Lonchura striata: one gene and its partners. The protein of the gene in region 2 interacts with the protein of the main gene of each other region in a pairwise test. Links are inferred from orthologs where the notes say so. Each region holds a gene or a part of one and is shown on either strand. Other genes may lie near its edges.

Evidence for each region.
Region 1: the proteins of EWSR1 (region 2) and MVK interact in a two-hybrid assay, tested with the Homo sapiens proteins (2 studies listed by BioGRID and IntAct). The two-hybrid records come from large-scale screens. The link is inferred for Lonchura striata from reciprocal best matches to the Homo sapiens genes EWSR1 and MVK.
Region 3: the proteins of EWSR1 (region 2) and ATXN3 interact in binary tests that used the Homo sapiens proteins (3 or more experiments, as listed by UniProt). The link is inferred for Lonchura striata from reciprocal best matches to the Homo sapiens genes EWSR1 and ATXN3.

What each region holds. Positions count from the first base shown.
Region 1 is NC_134620.1:11,140,495-11,148,297, reverse strand, and holds the start of MVK (mevalonate kinase), read left to right. Parts: upstream 1-4,764; 5' UTR 4,765-4,800; coding exon 4,801-4,878; intron 4,879-5,021; coding exon 5,022-5,169; intron 5,170-5,899; coding exon 5,900-6,047; intron 6,048-7,013; coding exon 7,014-7,169; intron 7,170-7,803. Other genes in the region: corrinoid adenosyltransferase MMAB, read right to left, coding at 2,012-2,411, 2,546-2,610, 2,883-2,980, 3,522-3,594, 4,020-4,077, 4,181-4,274, 4,353-4,457, 4,530-4,587. UniProt on the Homo sapiens protein: Catalyzes the phosphorylation of mevalonate to mevalonate 5-phosphate, a key step in isoprenoid and cholesterol biosynthesis.
Region 2 is NC_134620.1:3,037,468-3,045,066, reverse strand, and holds the start of EWSR1 (RNA-binding protein EWS), read left to right. Parts: upstream 1-4,584; 5' UTR 4,585-4,632; coding exon 4,633-4,645; intron 4,646-7,583; coding exon 7,584-7,599. UniProt on the Homo sapiens protein: Binds to ssRNA containing the consensus sequence 5'-AGGUAA-3'. Might normally function as a transcriptional repressor. EWS-fusion-proteins (EFPS) may play a role in the tumorigenic process.
Region 3 is NC_134608.1:16,337,447-16,344,506, forward strand, and holds the start of ATXN3 (ataxin-3), read left to right. Parts: upstream 1-4,021; 5' UTR 4,022-4,048; coding exon 4,049-4,072; intron 4,073-7,060. Other genes in the region: NDUFB1 (NADH dehydrogenase [ubiquinone] 1 beta subcomplex subunit 1), read left to right, coding at 1,514-1,653, 2,782-2,818. UniProt on the Homo sapiens protein: Deubiquitinating enzyme involved in protein homeostasis maintenance, transcription, cytoskeleton regulation, myogenesis and degradation of misfolded chaperone substrates.

The DNA.
Region 1 (7,803 bases), about 8.1 Mb from region 2:
GTAGTAGCTTGATTTATTTCTCCTTGCAATCCAAACAATGCCAGCTTAGGTCCCCAAACAGTCGTGAGATTTCTTCCCCCCAGCTGGAAAAAAAAAAAGGGAAATACTATAAATCCCTCCCCAAGCTGATTTATGGAGCATTCATGAAGAATTTATATTGCAAAGGATTTTATTAAATTAAACTTGAAAAGCCTCTTGATTCCTGAGATTCAGTCTCAGAGCCAGAGCTCTCGTAAAACTGGAAGGAGCAGGCAGAGGGAATGGCTGAGGTGACACTGCAGCTGACGGGACCATCCAAATCCAGAGCATTTGTCACCAGGATGTGTTCCAGGCTGAGGCTTGGAAAATTACTCCATGAAAAATGTGCATTAACAAGAGGCATGAAATATCTGCCTCAAACCCAGGTGAGTGATGAGCCAGGAGATCTGTTAGTGCTGGGCACTCCTCACTCATTCCTGGGCATTTTTTACTGGCCAAAAAAGGGACACAGAGCCAGAGATTCTTTGGAGAACAAGTTTAAGGTTGGTTCTACTCAAATAATTGAACGGGAGAAGGGGCAGGATGGATTTAAAAGCTGCATCACCACCTTGCAGCCCACACCATTCCCAGGGGGAAAAATTACACCAGCAGGCTTCCCATGGGCTCTTCCCAGTAGTATTTCCAAGCTGGAAGCAGTTTGGACATGAGTGCAAAGCTGGAACTGTGTGTGTGATGTGGGTGTGAGCTCCCTCCAGCAATGTTCCAGGGTCAGCACAGACACCCTGGGAGGAACCCTCGGGGTGCTGCCCCTCTCACCCAGCTCCTCACCCCAATCCCTTTTCCTGCAGCCTCAGTGCCCTGGGTGCTCCCAAACCCTGGGCTCTGCTCCTCCAGCTGTTCCTGCAGCTGGTCCCACCATTCCAAGGGACAGCTCCATGTGTAGACAACCCCAGCACGCAGACCCTGGGATTTGGCCTTTCCTGCTTCACCCCCTCCATTCTGTGAGCCTCGTTCCTGGCAGAGGATGCACAGGATTGTCAGCACAGAGACATTCCTCACATGCACAACAAGAGGCAGCCAGAGCCAAGGAATTCTTGGTGCATTCCTGTAAATCTGTACAGCTCAGCTCCAGCCAGAGCTGATGGATTGGAAGGGACTTGGAGCAGCAAAGCACACAGGGCTCGGTGTTAAAACGTGACAGTTTGTGGCCCTTTGGTACAAGGAAATTCACATTTATTATTCCAGAGCTGTGGACACAATTCCCAAAGGCCTCCAGCTGCTGCTCTACACGAGCGCTGTGCCTTCAAAGGAGGAGCTGATTGTTTTCCCTTCATCATCCCTCAGAGTCCTGTCAGAGCCTTCCCACAGCACCTGCTGCTGCCCAGGGAAATGAAGGCATCTCCAAAATGTTAAGGAATTCTCCTGCCTCACTCCCACCTGGGAGAAGCAGTGACTCCAGAGCCATCCTCAAATGGGATGTGTGGGCCAGGCCCAGGGATAGGACAGATGTGTCTGAGTCCCTTCCAACTCAGGATATTCTGTGATTCTGTTCTTCTCAGGATTTATCAACAAGTTCCTGGTTATGTCACATGGAAATCCTTGGCAGCTCCCATTTCCACTCCAGGCTTGCTCTCTCTCCCTTCCTTGATTGACAAAAGCAGTCAACTGGATTTAGTTTTCCATAATAAAGGAAAAGACATTCCAGCTCCAGCTAGGGCTCAGGTTTTATGTAGATTTTCTCTTCCTTCCCTTCCTTCATTGCAGCATAACGTGCCAGGACAAAGAGATAATCACTGAGCCTGGAAAGCAAGGGAAAAGCAGGAAAACCAGGGATCTTATCCAGAAGAGAAGCTTGTTGAGAAGCAAAACCCCCCAGTTCCATTCCCAGGACTAAGGGAATGCTTCAGTAGGACAGGGCAACAGGTTGGGGTTTTATTTTTTTACCTGTTTAAATACTTGGCCACGTTTGGATCTGCTTCCCCTGCTTGGACTAAAGGGACCACACTGGAAAAGCAAAGGGAAATGCTGGTGTTTAATTTTCCAGCTCTGAGTGCACAAAGGCTGGAGCCTCCTCCCACCCCAAACCTCTCCTGGGGTCCCCAGTTTGACTCCTGCAGAAATGAAGGACTTTTGCTTCCCAGAGGGATCTGGGCAGGGTAAATGATGCCAGAAATGTTTGTGTCTGGGAAATCACTGAACAGAGAGAGACTCTTTTATTTACAAGGGCCTGGAGTGACAGGACAGAGGGAATGGATTCCCACTGCCAGAGGGCAGGGTTAAATGGGATATCGGGAAGAAATTCTTCCCTGTGAGGGTGGTGGGGCCCTGGCAAGGCTGCCCAGAGAAGCTGTGGATATCTCATCCCTGGAAGTCTCCAAGGCCAGTTTGGATGGGGCTGCAGAATCCCAAAAGGTTTAGGTTGGATGACCCAGCTAAGGGGAAGGAAGAGAGCCTGGCTGGAATTGGACTAAACACACAAAAGCTTGGCTTGAGCCCCCAGCCCAGCCCTGGTTTGTATCACTGGGGTGTCCCCATCCCCTTTCCTCAGGGTGATCCCAGCACTCACCACCTCTCAGCCCTGCGGCACACGGCTCGGGAAAAGTGGAGAGCAGCACTGCTCCTGCCTCCAGACTGGAACAGCAAGGGAACACCACTCAGTGTCTGCACCAGCAGGGACAGCTCCCCCTCCCCTCCCACACACATGGAGCTGATCCCTGTGCCATGGCCAGGCAAGGGAGGGACATCCCAGTGCAGCAGGGTGGGCAGAAGTAACTCCCAGCTCCTCGTCTCTGCTTTTTTCTCAGTGCTTGCCTATGGAAATAGCAGCCTTCCAGGCTGTTTTCCCATGGTGAGCAGTGGAGCAGGGCTACCCCAAGGAAGTGAGGGGCACAGGCAGCACCTACGGGCAGGATGAAGGCTCTGAGGGGAGGGAGCTGCTCTGAGTAACTGTCAATCCACTGCTCCAGCTCCAGGACGGGCTTCTCACTGAACGACGTTCGTTCTACAGAGGGAAAAGAAGAAACAGCTGAAAAAAAGTGATTCAGACAAAAAACTGAACTAGTATAGTGAAAAATGTGGTGATCCCCGACTCAGGGAAGAAAATTATGATGTCTGGCTTCAGATCAGAAGGCTGAAGGACAGCTTTATTAAAATTATAGTATTCTACATACTTATTTACCTATCTAACTAACTGCAAACTTGTGACTCTGTGCTGAGAACCCAAGCCACAGCTGGATCCACTGGTCACTGACCCCAAACAACCTTCACCAGAACCCAACCCAGCAATCACTGCAGGTAAACAATCTCCACACCACATCCCACATAGGGAAAACAAAGGAGCAGAGATAAAGATTTTCTTCTCTCAGCGCTACCCCTGAGAGACAGAATTATGTCTCTCTGTCCAGAGAATGTGAATGTCACATACTCTGATTTTGCTTTCTTGGATCAGCAAGTCCTAAGAAACCAAATCCATCCCTCAGCATCCCAACCACCCACGCCAGGCTGTGCCCAAGCCCTGCCACTCCAGGAAAGGCAGGACTTACTCCGGTGAGCCTCCCTGGCCGAGGAGAGCGGCGTGGCGAGGTTGGAGCCCACATCCTGCAGCATGCACTGCACCTGGACAAAAATCACAGCTGCTGTCACTCTCAGCCGTGGCTTTTTGCATTCCTGTGCTCAGTTTGCCTGGCAAACTCACAGGCTGCCCAGGCAGGACCTGTGTCACTGCTCTGCCCTTATGCTTGGTTTGTGTCCCAGTTTCAAACATGGAGTTCTGTTACGACAAAACTCATGTTCACAATGTGGACCTCACTTGGGATAAATCTAGAGATTAATCTGTCTGCCCATAACTAATAATTTGATCTATCAGCTTCCTTCTTGGTTAAATAAATTTGCCTCTTAGAGAGCAATCAAGGGAGTCTTAAAGATTTATATATTGAAATCCTAAATGTATTCAATTCCTGTGTGTCAGTGGGAGCACTGTGGTTAAAATTAAGGAGTGCATGTTTTTATAGCACTGGATGAAGATTATCCTTAATACTCACTTTATGAAGTTGATCAACAAACGTGTGGCCCTTTTCACTGCTAAACTCACCAGCCAGCCTTGGTTAGAGTGAAAAAAACAAAACAAGAGTTAGCTGGGAATGAAGAAATCACAACAACCACGCTTTTCCATGTGGTTTGGATTCTCCCAGCCGGTCCTTACCCGATGGCCGAGCTCAGCTCGTCCGTGGCTCCCAGGGCCTCGAAGATGCGGTCGCCCTTGGGCCGCCGCTCCCCGGTGAAGGTGCTGGAGAATCCTTTGGGAAAGGGGAGAGGCGCTCAGGGCTGGGCTGGGCAGCTCTGCCCGCGGCTCCCCGGTGCCCCCCGGGCTCTACCTGAGTCTCCCGTCCTCGTGTAGATCCTCGGGGCCCGCTCGGCAGCGGCGCGCTCGGGGCTGTGGAGGCACAAACCGTGAGGGGACACCGTGGGGGCGGGGGGCGCTGTGAGGGGAAGAAGCACACCGTGAGGGACGGAACGACACCGAGAGGCAGTCCCGGCCCTCCCACGCTCACCTGCCCGCCCCGCCATGCCCCGCAGTCCCCGTCCCGCCGCCGCCGCCCGCCGCCACATCCCTCCCGGCCGCCGTCACCGTCCCGCCCTCAGCCCACGCCGTCACCCCAGCGCCGCACCACCCCGCCACGCCCCCTTCCCATTGGCCGCCCGCAAGTCCCGCCCTCTCAGCGCGCCCTGCTATTGGCTGAGCGCAGGGAGGCGGGACAAGGGCGCGGCTGCGATTGGTGGGTGGGGCTGTCAGTCGGCGTGGGCCGTGAGGCGGCGGCGGCGATGTGGCGGCGGGAGCTGGCGGTGTCGGCGCCGGGCAAAGTGATCCTGCACGGGGAGCACGCGGTGGTGCTGGGCAAGGTGAGGGCACGGCGGGCACCGTGAGGGCTGCCCAGATCGGTGAGGGCACGGCGAGGGCTGCCCAGCTCGGTGAGGGCACGGCGGGCACCGTGAGGGCCGCCCAGCTCGGTGCGGCCTCGCTGAGCCCCGTTCTCCGCCCGCAGGTGGCCCTGGCCGTGGCGCTGGACCTGCGGACGTTTCTCTGCCTGCGGCCCGGCGCTGAGGGCCGGCTCAGCGTCTCCCTGCCCGGCGTCGGCGTCCGGAGGAGCTGGGACAGCCCCGGGCTGCGGGCCCTGCGCGGGCGGATCGCAGGCAAGGCCCGGGGAGAGGAAGGAGGCGCTGCCCCGGGGCACTGAGGGGCTCTCGGGACCGTTCGGTGCCCGCTGCACCCCGGTGACCGTGCTGGGACTCCCGCCATGAGGTGACCTCGCAGAACCCCCGTGGGGTGACTCTGCAGGGACCCCCGTGGGGTTATTTGTCCCCCCTGTCTCTGACCCCACTCACTGACCTGTCCCTGCTCCTCTCAGTTACTTACATTCCCCTTGTGACCCTGCTGATGCTCAGGTGGCCCTGTCCCCTCCTGGTTTGGGTTCCAGGGACTTGTTCTGGTGCTGTTGTGGCTCAGGCAATGTTGTGACACAGGCAGGAGTCAGCCTGAGCCTGTTTTCCTGCCTGTCTGTCCCACACCAGCCCTCATGGGAATTTCTGCAGCACCTTGTACTGGCTGGAGCCCCAGGATATCCCAGTTCCAAAATCCCCATTCTTTAATGAAGAGTTTGTGACTTGCTGTGTTTTCCATAGTGAGTATGGATGGATGCACTGGGAGGTGTAGGCAGGAAATGTGGAGTGTGGAAACCCTGGGATTTCAGAGTGCCTGGTGGAGATTTTGCTTTTATTTTATCACAGATCCTCAGGTAGAACCTGAAATTGGCCCCAGCTGTTTCTGCCTGCTGTAACAGAAGGTTTTGTTGCAAATACTGCTCTCAGTGTAACAATTCCCTGGTTTTTAAGTGTTTAAACTCTCCCCTGCTTGCTTCCATAGCTGATGAAGATGAGTCCAAGTCCCCCAGTGTAGAACAGCTGGATGCACTGAGGGAGTTTGCTGGAATTGCTGCTGGGGCTTCAGCTCCAGAAAGTCTTGCTACTCTTGCCTTCCTGTATATGTGCCTGGCTATTTCTGCTAAGTATGGGTAAGGCTCCACTCCTGCCCCAAAATTTTGGTGGTGGGTGGCTGCTTCAGGCAGGTGAGCTGGGAGTCTCTGCTCTCACTTAGTTTTGAGGGCTGAAACCAGAGCAGTTCATGCCACAGTCGCAACACACACACCCCTCCCTCCAGCAGGCAGCTCCTGTCATCCTGGCTTAGGCTGGAAAAACAGAAATAAACTGTGAATTTATTGTCTGAACTGAGTCTGATCTCTTTATGGGCTGAATCTGCCTAAAAAAACTCTGGGAACTTGGGGCTATTCCAGTTCTCAGCCTTGCCCCAGCACTGTCAATGATCTTGGTGTGACTGGATGGGTGCTCAGGGCAGTGTCAGAAACCACAGCAGAGCCCAACTTCCCTATTCTCATCCAGGAAATCCAAGGATAAAGAACTGGGTTGTGGTTTCCTTGCACTCTTAGGGTGGCACTGGGGCTGTCACTCAACAACCCTGAAAACCTCCTGGGTTTGATTCTGGGGTCTGTAACACAACCCAGGTGTGTTCAGTGGAGCAAAGGGACATGGATATGTCCATGTTCCATCTTCCCCACCAGCCTCTTGCTCCAGTGGGATGTGGCTGTGCAAATACACATTTGGGATGTTTACACTTTATTCAGAAATGTGTTTGCAATCCTGTTTACAGCAACCTCTGAAGGGGCTCTTTATGGTGCTGCTCAGGTATTTGGTTACAAACTGCCCCTGCTAGCAGCCTGACAAGCTGTGCCAATCATGGATCCACTCAGGAGGGCTTTATTCCAGCACAATGGCTTGGCCAAGGCTGCTCCATTCAGGAATGAGCCCTCCTGAAGCCCCAGAGTGTCAGATGCATGTGCTGATGTTGCAAGTTCTCAATCAGCTTTCCCTTTGATCAGTCCTAACTGGCCTCCTTTGCATTTTAAACGTTGGCTGGAGATGGAATTCAGGGTGCTTGTGTCAGTCCCTGTCTGTTTTACCAGGGATGTTCCCAGCGTGGAGATCGTGGTGTGGTCGGAGCTGCCCACGGGAGCAGGGCTGGGATCCAGTGCTGCCTATGCTGTGTGCCTGGCTGCAGCCCTGCTCATGGTGTGTGGAGCCATCTCCTGCCCACTGCAGGAGGGAGAATCCACAGCCAGGTAAGGAATTCCAGCCTGGGATGCACAGCTCTGCTCCCTGTGCCCCACCTTTCCTTTTACCTGCAGGAATTCTGGCACTGCCACCTCTGCTGGTTTCTCTTGGCTGTCACCACAACTGACACCGAGAGCCCATCTCCTGTCCATGCCCAGAGTTCCCAGCCCTCTCCCAGACTTTGTAAAACTCCCCGTTTCCCTTGTTTAGGGTCAGATAAACATACCTGAAAAGGGGGGGAAAGGCTTTATTTTTTCCAGTCAAATAAAACACACTGAAATTTTTCAAACTCGGTCTCCTCTGGCTCTGAGCATCTTCCAGGTTTTGTTTTGAGTCCTCGAGGATCCTTTCTGGGATTTCTTTTTGCATTTCCCATGAATTCTTTTCTGCATGTGCTACATTTCCTCCTGATCTCCTGCCTGTCTTTCCCTTTTATCAGTACCTGATGAAAGAGAGTTTCTTTCCTTCTGCCCTTGGAGCTCCCCTTTGGAAGCCTGGAGTGCTGTGCCCCTGTGAGAGGGAGCTCTGTTTGAAGCTGTTAAAAATCAAAGCTGGAGGGGCAGACCCTCTATTGTGTGGGATTTTTTGTGGGGCTGAGAGCAAGACATCAAGGGGGGTGGTTCTGTGTTCTGCTTCTGAACC
Region 2 (7,599 bases):
CACCCTCACCCCCAGCTGGGCACCCCAGAGCCCCCCCAGGCACTGTCCCCCTCGGGCAGGACACCTGTGACAGTCTCAGTGTTGGGGACAAGTGGGTGGCCCTCTGAGAAGGTTGGGGACATGTCCCCCCACGTTTTGGAGAGCTCAGTGTGCTGGGGGTGGCAGAGGGAGCACCCCCAGCTGGGGACATCAGTGTCCCCCTGGACAGGTTGTGAATGTGTCCCCCCAAATGTCGGGGGGCTCAGCGTGCCGGGGGATGGCAGAGGGAGCACCCCCAAGTCAGGGACATCAGTGTCCCCATCAGGGCACTGCCAGGGACATCAAGCCAGCACAAGGGCCCCCCCCCTTGTCGCCATGGATCCGCGGGGATGGGGGAGCCCCCAGCACCCTTCTGAGAGTGGGAAGACCCTCCTAGGAGACCTGGCACCCCCTCCTCGTGCCCCAGCACCCCCATCCCGCTGGGGCTGCACCCCTGCCGTGCCCCCCCGCCATGCTGTGCCACCCCTGCCGTGCCGTGTCCCCAGCCCGTGTCCCCAGCCCGCCGCGGGGCCAACGCGCTCTGCTCTGCTCTGCTCTCTCCCTCTCCCCCAGGCCAGTAGCTTCCAAACCCTCCTGCAGCAGCAGGCCCGGCTGGAGGTCCTGGCTAGAAGGGTCACCTTGCTGGAAGCCATCATCTGGCCAGGTAACCACCCCCGCCCCGCCCCGCATCAGCCCGGAGCGCCGCGGCACCCCGGGAGCGGGCATGGAGCACGGGGGGCTGGAGCCACCACAACGGGGCACCGAGAGCTCCGGGGCCACGGGAGAGCTCGGAGACCTGCTTGGACTGAGAGGGGCAGCCATGGAGATCTCTTGGATTTAGCCATGAAACCATGGAGATCCTCCAGGATTGAGAGGGGCAACCATGGAGATCCTCCAGGATTGAGAAGGGCAACCATGGAGATCTCATGGATTGAGAAGGGCAACCATGGAGATCTCTTGGATTTAGCCATGCAACCATGGAGATCTCTTGGATTTAGCCATGCAGCCATGGAGATCTCTTGGATTGAGAGGTGACCATGGAGAGCTCTTGGATTGAGAGAGGCAACAATGGAGATCCTCTTGGACTGAGAGGTGAACATGGAGATCTGTTTGGATTAAGAGGTGACTATGGAGATCTCTTGGATTGAGAAGGGCAACCATGGAGATTCTCCAGGATTGAGAAGGGCAACCATGGAAATCTCTTGGATTGAGAGAGGCAACCATGGAGATCACTTGGATTTAGCCATGCAACCATGGAGATCCTCTTGGATTGAGAGGTGATCATGGAGATCCTCTTGGATTGAGAGGTGACCATGGAGATCTCTTGGATTTAGCTATGCAATCATGGAGATCCTCCTGGACTGAGAGGTGACCATGGACATCCTCTTGGATTGAGAGGTGACCACGGAGATCCTCTTGGCTTGAGTGAGGCAACCATGGAGACCTCTTGGATTTAGCCATGCAACCTTGGAGATCTGTTTGGATTGAGAGGTGACCATGGAGATCTGTTGGATTGAGAGGTGACCATGGAGATCCTCCTGGATTGAGAAGGGCAGCCATGGAGATCCTCTTGGATTGAGAGAGGCAAACATGGAAATACTCTTGGATTGAGAGGTGACCATGAAGATCTCTTGGATTGAGAGGTGACCATGGAGATCCTTGTGGGCCAAAGGAAACTGGAGCCTGCCACGGTTTAAGGGAGACCATGGAGAGACCCTCTCACCCCAAGGGAGCTCATGGAGACCCCTCTTGGACCAAGAGGAACCCTGGAGCTCTTTAGAGTTCCAGGGAGCCCATGGAGAGACTCTCTTACCCCAAGGGAGCCCATGGAGACCCTTGTACTACTAGGAACCCTGGAGCTCTTTAGGGTTCCAGGAGCCCATGGAGAGACTCTCACTCCAAAGGAGACCATGGAGACTCCTCTTGGACCAAGAGGAACCCTGGAGTTCTTTAGGGTTCCAAGAAGCCCATGGAGAGACTCTCACTCCAAAGGAGACCATGGAGACCCCTCTTGGATCAAGGGGACCCATGGAGGTCCCTCAAGGCCAAGGGAAGCTCCAGAGCCCCTCTGGAACCATGGGAGACCACAGAGCCTCTCTTGAGCCAAGAGGAACCCTGGAGCTCCCCAGGGCTCCAGGAAATCCTGGGAGAAGGGAGACCCTGGAGACCCCCTCAAGCTAAGGGAGGCACACGGACCCCCCAGGCTCACCGGAGCCCACGGGGACCCCTCGGACCGAAGCAGCTCCCAGCGCTCCCGTTGTCCCAAGGGATCCCCCAGTGCCAACCCCCCCGTGCCAGGGTGCCCCCCACCCTCACCCCCCCGCCCCCTCCCCATTCCAGCTGTGCTTTCCCAGGGCTCCAACCGGGGGTGCCAGGCAGGGGTGCCAGCTGGGGGGTCCTCGGGTGGGTGTCCCCAGGGCTTGGGGACACTCAGAGCCACAGTGGGGCAGTGACCCCCATTTCTGCGGGGCACAACACCCACAGCACAGCCCCCGGCGCCGATTTGGGGGATTACAGAGCTGGGGGGGTGACACCCCACCCCTGACACCCCTTTTTTCCTCTCCTCCCACAGAGCCAGAGCCCGGCTCGGGCAGCGGTGTCCCCAGCACAGCCACCCCCGGGGTGCCCCACGGCAAGCGTGGCAGCGGCCACCCCCCCTACCGCATCGTCACCGCCGCCCGCCGCGCCCCCCCGGAGCCGTGACAGGGGCGTCACCCGGGCCACCCCCGCCGTGCCACCCTGGGGAGCAGGACGGGCTCAGCCCCGTCCCCCCTCTTGGTGCTACTGGTGGCACGGCACCGTCCCCCCACCACGCTTCGCCCCCATCGCCGCTGCTTGAGTCCCCGGGAGGGCCAGGGCTGTCCCCAAGGCCATTTCTGTCCCCCGGGCAAGGCGCAGCTCCGGGGGGGTGGGCTCTGTCTCATCCCACCTCCCCGGGCACCCCAGCCCAGGGGAGGGGATTGGGGGGCTGGCGGTGGGCACCCCCCGGGCGGGGAGCCCGCCGTGCTGCGCGCTTCGCTGCTTGGGGACCCGCCAGGTCATTAAATGTCCCCAAATCCCTGTCCTGTGGGGTCGCTTGGTGCGCCGGGGTGACCCGGGCACCTGTGGGGTGGGATGGGATGGGATCTATGGGATGGGATCCATGGGATAGCATCTATGGGATAGGATCTATGGGACCCATGAGGTGGGACCTATGGGATGGGATGGGATGGGATGGGATGGGATGGGATGGGATGGGATGGGATGGGATGGGATGGGATGGGATGGGATGGGATGGGATGGGATGGGATAGGATCTATGGGATGGGATCCATGGGATCCATGGGGTGGGATGGGATCCATGGGATGGGACGGGATGGGATCCTTGGGATGGGATGGGATGGGATCCATGGGATGGGATCTGTGGGATGGGATCTATGGGATGGGATGGGATTCCTGGGATAAGATGTGACCCATGGGATGGAATGGGATGGGATGGGATGGGATGGGATCCATGGGATGGGATCCATGGGATGGGATAGGATCTATGGGATGGGATCAATGGGATGGAATGGGATGGGATGGGATATGATCTATGAGATCCATGGGGTGAGACCTATGGGATGGGATGGATTGGGATGGGATGGAATGGGATGGGATAGGATCTAGGGGATGGGATCCATGGGATCCATGGGGTGGGATGGGATCCATGAGATGGGACGGGATGGGATCCTTGGGATGGGATTGGATGGGATGGGATGGGATTGGATGGGATGGGATGGGATCCATGGGATGGAATGGAGTTCAGGGACACCCAGGGGACACATGGCTGTGCCATGGGACACCCACCCGCGATGTGACACCAATCCATGCAACATCAGCCCCGGGACACCCACCCGCATCCCACCACCCATGGGACACCCAGCTGTGCCACCACAGCCCGGGTCACCCCCAGTACACGCAGGACACGCGGTACCCCCTCATGTCCTCATGGGACATGATGACGTCATGCAGCGATGACACGCGGTGACGTCACTCTGCCACGCTCGCCACGTGGGCAGCGTGCAATGCCAACCACAGCACGGGCACCCCAACGAGCACCCGCCCTGCCACTTCTCGGCACCTGGCGAGGTCGCACACAGCCCGTGGCGCCAGCCGCCGGCCGGTGACACCGAGTGACCGACCTCACGGCCAGGAGGCGCCGCCAGGCCCCCCCCGCGGCACGGCGCGTGACGTCACGGCAGCCCCGCCACGCCGCAATGACATCACTACGCCGGCCGTGACGTCACGCCCCCGCCGCGCTCCCCGCTCCGCCTCGCGGCCCGAGCGCCTCTTGCGCGACGGTCCCTAACGGCCGCGGGCCGTACCATCCCTCCGCCCGGCGGGGGGGGGAAGCGCGCAGCGAGGCGGCGGAGCCGCAAACCGGAGCGGCGGCCGCTGCCGGCGGGGCCGTCCCGGTTCCCCGCGGACGGCAGCAGCGGCGGGCGGGCGGCGGAGCGGGGCGGGCCGAGCCCCCGGGGCGCGATCTGCCGGCGGCGCCCCCCGGGCGCGGGGTGGTGCGCGCGGCGGGGCCGGGCGGCGCATGCGCGGCGCGGGGCGGGGCCGGGCGGGCAGCGCGGAGGAGGAAGGCGAGAAAATGGCGTCGACGGGTGAGCGGGGCCGGGGCGGGCCGGGCCCGGGGCGGGCGGCGGGGCGGGACGGGACCCCCGGCAGCGCCGCCGCCCCCGCCGCGGAGCGGCCGGAGGGGCGCTGGGACGGCGCCGCCGGCCCGCGGCGCCGCGCCCGGGGGGCCGCTGGGGTCGGGCCGTGCAGGGCCCGTCCCGCCCGTGTCCCAGCGGTCCGCCCGCCCGGGCCGCGCCGGGGCCGCGGGTGTTTCCCCTCAGTGTCCGCTGCGGCTCTTGCGGCCGCTCGGTGCCGCCGGATCGCCGGGGCCCCGCGCTCGCAGCAGCCGAGGCCGAGCGGGGCTCGCTCCGGCCCTGCCGGGCGGCTCTGGCTGCGATGCGGGACGGCGGAGCGCCGCGGGTGGGAAGGGAGCCGGAGCCATCCCGGGGGCAGCGACACCTCCCGCTGCCCCTGCGGGCTCCCAGCCCGGCCCGCGGCACCGCCGGGCACGGAGCATCCTCTGGGATCTCCGCTCCAGCACCTCCCAGCCAGGAATTCCTGCCCAAAGTCCCATCCAGCTCTCCCCTCTGGCAGTGGGAGCCATTCCCTGTGTCCTGTCCCTCCATCCCTTGTCCCCAGCCCCTCTCCAGCTCTCCTGGAGCTCCTTTATGCCCTGGAAGGGGCTTTGAGCTCTCCCTGGAGCCTTCTCCTCTGCCAACTTTTCCCCACAGGGAGATAAGATGTTCCACCATCTCCATGGCTCCACATTTTTCTGAATGAAACGTTTTTCCACGAGGGCTCCAGCTGGATACAAATAGTTGGAGACTGAGACTCTCCAGCTCAGTACACCTTAAAGTACTTTAAATCCCAGCAGGATTTGACTCCCTTTAAAAGAAATGAGGATTTTCCTTTTTTCCAGCAAGGAAAATCTCCCAGGCCATGGAGTGTGAGGGAATATCACCAACAGCACCTTGGGGAGCTTGAAAAAGAAAAGTCAGTAAAGGAACATCTGCCAGTGGAATTGTCAGGATGGGGGTTAAAACCACAGCTGTGTTTTCCCTTAATTCATGGAATTGTTCCTCCTGGGAGCTGCTATTTTCAGCCTCTGGTGTGCTTCTGAGCCTTGTGAAATAAAAGGAAGAAGATTAATTTCCCCCTGGAAATAAAAGCCAGGAGATGGGTTTAACTAAATGAACCATAATATTATTTTTTATTAATGTTCCATGTTCCTCTAAATCCCAGCAAATTAAAAGAGAGGCATCACCACAGGCAAACTGCAAATTCCACACCTGGAATTAAATCCTGCAGAGGGGAAAATGTTGGGTTTAGGTGGGACTGGGGGAGGGCTGTGAGGAGAGGGGTTAATTGATACCCCTGCGTGGAGCTCGAGGCCAAAATGGGCTAAAAACAAATTAAATGAGGTTTTGGTGGCTGGAGGGTGAGCAGGGAAAAAAGTGGAGTGGTAGGGAAAGGGAAGCTGGATGAGGGGGACCAGGCATTAATTAACACTCAGGATTTAGCAGAACCACATGTAAAGTGAATGAAAAAAAAAAACAAACAAACCCAGAACCCTGAACTGAACAAGGAAAATGTTCCAGTATCCCACTTGCCAACCTGAGAGGGAAGTGGGAATGCTGCCAGGGGAGTTTAACAACTTGTGCCTTGTGTCCTGGGAGCAGGGAAAGCTTTGGAGAACTCCAAGTGTCTTCTTTCCCCGTGTGAGGTGTTCTGGGCAAGGTCAAAGGAATGGACAACTGCCAAGGATTCCTGCTGGGATCCCTGTTCCTGCCTCCAGCAGGGATCCAGGGGCTCTGCTCCTGCCCAGGGAGCAGGAGGAGAAGCTGGGAGCACCCCTGGAGGCTGGGCAGGAAGGGTTTAGTAGGGATGGATGCACAGGCTGGGGAACAGGAGGTTGTGCTGGATGGAAGCTGTGTTTTCCAAGTGATTCCTGGGGCTCCATGCCTTGGGAATTGTGGGATAATGGCATTAAAGCCAGGCAAAATTTGCTTCCTCAAGTTCTCCAGTGCAGGAGTTGAGCATGATCCGTGTGGGTCTCTCCCACTTGGGGATATTCCATGATTCTTGGGAGAAACTTGGATTTCTGGCCAAGGTGTGATGGTGATGGGAGCAGTGGAAACTCTTCCCGCACAGGGATGGTTGGGAGCAGCTCCACTGATGCAGCTTCTGGCTGTGGCCTCCACCAGGAGGTTCTGGGCTCATTCCTGATCTCCTGAGCACCTTCTGTGCTCCTGGCAGAGCTGGGGTCTCTGGCCAGGTCTGCTGGGAATGATGAATTCATCCGTGCTCCGGACCTTGGGTTGGGAGCTGGAGCTGTTGCTGCCTCTGAGGGAACTGGGAGCTGCAGTCCTTTCAAATTTAGCCTCCTAATTGCCATGTGGATTCATTTTCCATCCCTGCCAGCAAATCACTTCAGCACAGGCTTTGCTGCTGGGGTTTTCAGGATTTTGGTTCTCCTCCCAGTCAGTTGCTGACTTGGATTGAGGATCTGTGGAGGGAATCACTCCCATCTTCCCAGCTCCAGCCCTTCCAGGGGGACAAGTGGCTTTCCAGCCATCCATTTGTGTCCTTGAAAGGGAAGGAGTGAAGGTGGTGAAACCTTCCAGCCCAGCCCTTTCAGAGCAGGGTGGTGGGTTTGGAAGGCTCAGATCCCTGTTTTTCCTTTGTTCCAACCCAAATCCCCCCCTGCCAGCCCCCTGGGATCCATCCAAGGTGGCAGTTAAATTGAACCGGGGTCATTTGAGATCAAAGTGGCTGCTGCGAGCAGCAGGAACAATGAGGGGAAGGGAGGTTTTGTTCCCCTCCAAAAGGAGGACTGAAAATGTGCATTTACCTTCCACCCTTGGGAAACTGGAATTCCAGTGGTTTATAGCGAGCTGCAGGAGGAAATTCCAGCTGCTGTGCTCTTGGTCTCTTTAATTTTATTAAGCCTTTATCAATGTTTTTATTCTTCTCCTTTTCTTTTAGATTACAGTACCTATAG
Region 3 (7,060 bases), on a different chromosome or scaffold from region 2:
CCGCGGGGGCTCCGGGGCTCCAGCGCCCCACCGGGCCTGGCGCCCGGGCCTGGCCTCTCGCCGGGCGGGGACGGGGACACGGGGGCGAGCGGTGCGCGCACTCCAGTCCGAGACGAGGAGAACAAGGGGAAGAGGAGGATGATGATGCGAAGAAGCCGGTACCTGCCGCCCTCAACCACCCCCAGCCCGCGCCGCGCTCGCCGCCATCTTGCGGGGGCGGGGAGGCGGGGCAGCGGGCGGAAGGGTAGCGGGCGGCACCACCGCGAGCCTGCCGGGGGGAGCGCGCTCCTCCCCCGGCCCCGCGCAGCGCGTGGTCTGGCCCGGCCCGCCCGTTCCCGGTGCCCTTGGCGCGGCCGCTGCGGTCCCGCTGCGGCGCGAGCGGCGGTAATGGCGGGGTGGCGCGGGGCGGGACCGCTGTCGGGCCTGCCGGGAGCGCCTCGGCCGGGACACGGCGGCGGCGGGCGGGCGGGAGCGAGCGCCCCTCAGCCGTGGGGCTTTACGGCGGTCGGGTCCCGGGCAGGCCGGAGGCGGCTGAGCCGGGAGGTGGTGGGGCCGTGCCGCGAGTCAGCGGCCGGGCCCGGGGCGGGGGTTCCGCAGGGGTGCCCGCCTGTCCGCCTGCCTGTCCGCCTGCCTGGCCGCCCCACAGCGGCCGCGGCGCGAACGGCGGCGGAGTTCGCCCCCGGGAGCCGGCCGGGGTCCGAGCCCGCGGCTGTGTGACAGACCTCACTGCCATCCCGTGTAATTCCCTAATCTGGAAGGCTTTGGTTGGGTTGGGAAGGTTTGCTGGGCCCCTATAGTTTGGAGAGGTCTGCGAGGGGATCTCACTAATGGGTGTAAATATCTCAAAGACGGGTGCCAAACTCTTTTCGTTGGTGCCCAGCAATGGGACAAGGAGCAATAGCCATTGCTAAAACACAAGAAGTTCTGCCTCAAGACGAGGAAGAACTTCTTCAATTTGAGGGTTACAGAGCACTGGAACAGCTTTCCAGAGAGGCCGTGAAGTCTCCCTATCTGGAGACATTGAGAAACCACCAGGATGTGTTGACAGAGAGGTTGGACTGGATGATCTCCAAAGGTCCATTCCAACTGTAATGATTCTGTCATTCTGTGATTTTAGAAAAGTCCTTTCTTATCTGTCAGTCTCTGAGACTTGACGCAGATAATGAAGTCTCCTTCTACAGAAGTTTAGGTTATGAAAGTGTTTCTAATGCTTTACAGAGTAGCAAACTTCTATAGAATTGCTTTAAAGAGTAAATTAAAGAGATGTTTTATTTCTCTCCTGTTTTAGGATGAAATCCTTTTTCCCAGGGTTAACATTTAGGATTATTTCTAAGAAGGCCGGGTATGGGTTTGAGAGCAGCATGTTTCTCCCAGGAAGTGTTTGATAGCCTTCATGTATATTATGTAATTGTGGAATCCTAATAAGTGAGAGTAAAGGTGCCAAGCATGCACCAGTTTCCAAGTGCACAAGTATTAGTACCTCTTACCTCCTACACTTTTCTTTCTAGCAGTCATGGTGAATTTCGCCCAAGCTGTGCGTGAACACTGGGTTCACATCCTTGTTCCCTTAGGATTTGTGATTGGATGCTATTTGGACAGATGGAATGATGAAAGATTGTCTGCCTTCAGAAACAAGAGCTTATTATATAAAAGGTCTGCTTTATGATGCCTCTTGTATACGTATATAGTTATTATTCAAAGTGCTTCTCAGTTCTTTTTTAGTCATGATTGTAACCAAAAAAAGGGAAGAAAGGCCTAAAAATATCAAGCATTCATGAAGTGTTTTAGGTCAGTAATACCCTCTGAAAACGGAATCTTTAGAAGCTATCATCTTCATGAAAGAAAGAATCATTAACTGCTGTCAAGTTCGTGGTCATGAAATATGGAAACCATTATTTTAACTCTCTGTAACTTCAGCAGAAAACACAGTGCTTGAGTTTTTATTTTCTTTCTTAAATTTAAAATTATCACAGTGCTTTTTGACAAAATTCTTTTTATAAATGTGTGTTACTTAAAAGTAATTACCAAGTCCTTGAAAATTAACATACAACCTGCTATGTCTTCACTGAATTATGTGATTATATACACTGATGAGTTTGGGTTTTCTGGCTCTGGTTCCTCAGGGAGTATTTACATCAGAGAACTTCAGGCATTGACTCACCTGTGTCAGTTCTAATTCTGTATTAGGTCTTGAGGTTAACAAAAGAGGAGAGAAAAAAGTCATGTTGCAGAAACTGATAGTAGCTATCAGTTTTCTAGTGGATTTGTCTTTCCTCCTCTGGCCTCACCTAAATTCATTTTGAATAAGAAAGAAAGCTTTTGACATAATCCACTCCCCTGATACATTAGCACTTTTCTTAATGTATTTGTTAGTGAAGTTGGGCTGCTATGTCGGTGTCTTGTAAAAATCCCTTCTTCTTTCACATTTCTCTTTCCACTAAAGTAATGAATTGTTACATTTTAAAAAAGTAGAATTTTTCATTTTGGATCCAGTTAAAAGTCTGTTAACTACTTAGAAGTCAGCTGTTCTGTGCTTCCATTTAAATGAATGGAAATTCAGAGGACTCAATCCATTGAAGCTTTTGAAAGAAAGGAGGAAGTTTATCAGTATGGAAAGATTTTTAACTGACAGCAATTGCAAGGAAAATTAAATTTTTACATAAATCTCAAATTGAAGGTATGGTTGAATGTAAACTAACACAAATATTAATAATTATTCTAAAAATAATGATACTAATTTTAGTCTCTTCCCTCTTGTTTTTTGGGTTTTTTTCTACACAGGGAATTGAAGCCTGGTGAAGAAGTAACTTGGAAATAAAAGCTGATGATGAAAAGGAAGACATTTTTGTTTGATTCATCGTCTTACATATTGAAAGAACAGGAATATGATTTTTACCCTGAGAGGATACTACAGTAAAGGACATCTGCAGTTCATCAGTGCTAGTTTAATATCTGGTGTTACTTTTTGAAGATGATTTAATTACATGACTCATATATGTTCAGGAGTTCCATTAGTCCACAAGCATTGAGAGAATTTTCTTCCTTACTCTGGAAAGGAGAGGAAGAATTATAGAATAAACTATGCAAAAATCATTTATGTTGGTATTGCTGTGTATGGTGTGGAATCCGTGTGTTTATAGCTATTTCATGAACTAGCCTTCAAAGAAATACTTCCATAAATCCAGAATGTGTTTGACAGGTACTGAACCTGCTTAAGTTGCTTTCTGGATTGTCTCTGTAGGCTTGTTTGGAATAGTGGTTAAGCAGTTATTGAGGCTTTGTGAGCGGACCAGGAGGGTCTAAGGAGTGCGCAGCTGGTGAGCACAAGGCAGGAGCGGTGCCGGGCGCCGCTCCGCTCGGTGCGGGGGAAGCGGCGCGGGGCCGGTGCGGATAGAAGCGGCGCGGGGCCGGTGCGGATAGAAGCGGTACCGGGCCGGTGCGGATAGAAGCGGTACCGGGCAGGTGCGGATAGAAGCGGCGCGGGGCCGGTGCGGATAGAAGCGGTACCGGGCCGGTGCGGATAGAAGCGGTACCCGGCCGGTGCGGATAGAAGCGGTACCGGGCGGTGCGGATAGAAGCGGTACCGGGCCGGTGCGGATAGAAGCGGTACCGGGCCGGTGCGGATAGAAGCGGCGCGGGGCCGGTGCGGATAGAAGCGGCGCGGGGCCGGTGCGGATAGAAGCGGTCCCGGGCCGGTGCGGATAGAAGCGGTACCGGGCCGGTGCGGATAGAAGCGGTACCGGGCCGGTGCGGATAGAAGCGGTCCCGGGCCGGTGCGGATAGAAGCGGTCCCGGGCCGGTGCGGGGCCAGCCGGCAGAGGAGCGAGCCGGCGGCGGGTGTCGCTCCCCGCGGGCGCTGCTGCCGCGCGGGGGCGCTCGCGGCCAGCGACGGTTTAGCCCGCCGGCCTCCTCTCCGGCAGGGGGCGCCAGAGCGGCGGGCGGGCCGGGCGCAGCCGGCGGGGCCTGCCCTGCGCGGCCGGGGGGCGATGGGCGCTGCGATTGGCCGGGCGGGTCACGTGGGGCGGGGGCTGCGGCTGCCACAGTAAACATGGAGTCGATCTTCCACGAGCGGGTGAGCGAGGGAGGGAGGGAGCGAGTGAGGGAGGAGCGGGCGGATCCCGCTGCCTGCCCGCCTTGGGTACAGCGCCGTCGGTTGTGGCCTTCCGGGCCGCCGAGACGGGGGAGGCGCGCGAGCTCTCTCTGAGGATCCGCTGGGGCGGTGCCCGGGCCTCCCGCCCCGCGGGGCAGCCCCCGGAGCCCCGGGGTGCGCTCGGCCTGTGTCGGGCCGGGCCGGGCCGCGCTCTCCTTCCCTGGCGTCTCTCACCTCCGGCAGTGGCTTGCCCTCTGCCTTGGGCGAAAGCCAGGCCCCTCGCGCGACGGTGCCTGTGGCCCGTCCCAGCTGGACGTTGCCGTCCCTTCCAGCCCTCCAGGGAAAGGACAGTCAGGGCTGAGCCTCGGTGTCTTCTTTGGCACGGGAACCGTGTTCTGGGGACTGCAGAAACAGCCCCCGGGTGTGGGGAAGTGTAGGCTGCAGCTACTTCTCTTTCCTGAGAGAGAGCTCGCAAGGCTGAGAAATGAGTACGAGGAGAAGCAGCGGCAGGCGGGGCTGTCCCTGTGCGCTCAGAGCCATCTCGTCACCGAGCCTGGCTTGGCTGGGCTTGTGTAATGAGCACGGACTGGGAGAACCGCTAGAGAAATCGCAGTTCATATAATGTACTTCTGTGTGCCGAGCAGTATTTCCTGTTTTGGAGGAAAATGCTGCTGTGAACTGCTGTGTTTTATCCAGGTTCCCAAATATGACCTATTTCTGTTTTAATGCTGTTCAAAGTATAATTGGATTTTTTCTTGCACTTTGCCAATGTCTCTTCAACTTTATTGTGTTAATACTAGTTCTGTTACTTTGTTTTGTTATGTCGAATTTATTTAAGAAGTCAAGTAAGATAGCCGTGTGCTGTCCTTTAAAAAATTGCTGTTCTGAGATCCATAAAAACTGGGGAGTGCTCTTTCTGAGTAGGTTTGGGTTGCAAAATTTGGCGAGTGTTGTGGTGTTAAGTAGCTGCTGTTCAGAGGGCGAGTGTTGGATTTCAGCTGTGATGGCCTCTGCTTCAGTGACCTTCAGTCTGGCTTTGAAAACAGTTTAACAGATGCACTCTTCTTACGTGGCCTTGTCTATCACAGTATGAATTAACTTTTTATTACTGAATTGCTTTCTAGTTTAATAGCAAAGCTTGTGAAATTGAAGTGACAAAGCATAATACATTCAGAGTTACAAGGTGAGATGGTAACTTGTACTTTCTCTGCCTTCTGGGGAAGGGTGAGTTGACAGTCTCTCACGTGAAACATACCTGCTCCCTGGCAAGTTAGTAACACAGTTAAAAAGTTGCACATCAACATGTTTTAAGTTGGAAAGCCAAACATTTTTATTCTGTTATTATTTTAGGGAAAATCTAACTGAATTATTCTTTTTCTTAAGGGGTATTTTTTCCCCCATCAAGTGCTGTCAGAATATTTAGAAGCACTGCATGTTCCTGAGTCTGCATACTCCAGTTGTTTTGATAGAAACACACGAGGGACATGGTATTTATTAAGAAAATTTAATAAAACAACCAGCGTTGTGGCCTTTTTAGAGACAAATAGCAGTTGCAGAAAGTAGGATTTAAGTATGGGGCTTCAGGAGTCCCAATCTGCAAAGTTTGTCCTTTCCTTGGTAAGATAAAAGTGATCAAAAACATTGAAAGCAGGGCAGCATTTTATGTCAGGAGAGGTTTCAATGAGAGGATTTCAGCTTATGGTAAAGAAGCAGTGTTCTCTGCACAAAACAATGGAAGTTCATGTCAGTTAAATACTGTAGGATCTCTTTTTTGCATTTGGCACTTCATGTGTATGACTTTTACACATGAGAATTAAGGTTTATTACTTTCAGATAATGCTGTACAAATACAGAAAGGTCCTTTTAGTGAAATTAGTATGTAAGCATGTAATACAACTAATTCCAGTGGTATTTTAGTATCTCTCTCTTTTTCTATCAGTTTCATGTTACTCCAGTGAGGAAGCCTGTGATTGTTGAGCAGGTTCTTCTGTTCTTCTGTTGCAGTTTGGTCATATGACCAGCAGTAGGGATGTGGTCCCAGAGGGACAGAAATTTGTGTTTAGTCTTGAGTTTCTTGCTGCAGGAAGGGCATGAGCTGGAGGAGGCTTCTGGATTCCACTCAAGCCTGGCTGTACAGCCAGTGCAGCTTCAGTAACTCATTGTTCAACTGAGCGATGAAGCCATAGGAAGATTCTGGAATAAAGAGAACTTTTGAGGTTTCAACTGTAAGGGAGATCATGGGAGAGTTCTACATATGATTTGTATGATGCTTTTATGGAATTTTAAAGAATATTCCTCAAAGGCATATTTTTGTATTCTTAGTTTCTGTGGGGCTGGCTTGAGGGAGGGGTGTCAGATTTTTTCTTGAGGGGTTTTGTTTTTAATGAAGAGCATGTGTAGGAGAGTTCTTAATGTAAATAAAAATGAAATGAAGACTGATTAAAACAAAAGAGAAAAGCAGGATTTTAAAACTGATGTTACTTGTCTTGCACATGTAGTTACAGTTATTTGTAGGAAAAGGTTCCTTTTCATGAGAAACTGCTTTGCTTGGTTTATATTGTGGTTTGTTTTTAATGAGACAGTGTTGTATCTCATATATGAAAATGTTGGAGCCTGTCATGCATTCATTCAGATCAGAGATTTTTTTGAATTTGTACTAAAAAATCATGACTGACATTGTTAGTTAACTCTTTTAAAATTTGTGCCAGTGTTTTAAAAATCTTACACTATAGTTCTATTACCTGTAACGTGTTGCATATGTAACCAAGTATCTGGAGTGTTTTTTATTTGAATGGTCTATCAATAAAAAAAAATATTTATGTTGTTTAATATGCTGAATTTAATATTTTTCTCTTGTTTCCCCATAATTGTTTTCAGGATTTTCAAACTAGTGGCATGATTTTATCTACTTCCTCTATGTAAATTTCATGTTAAAAAGGAGCTTTATTGTTCTTCCAGCTCCTAATCACT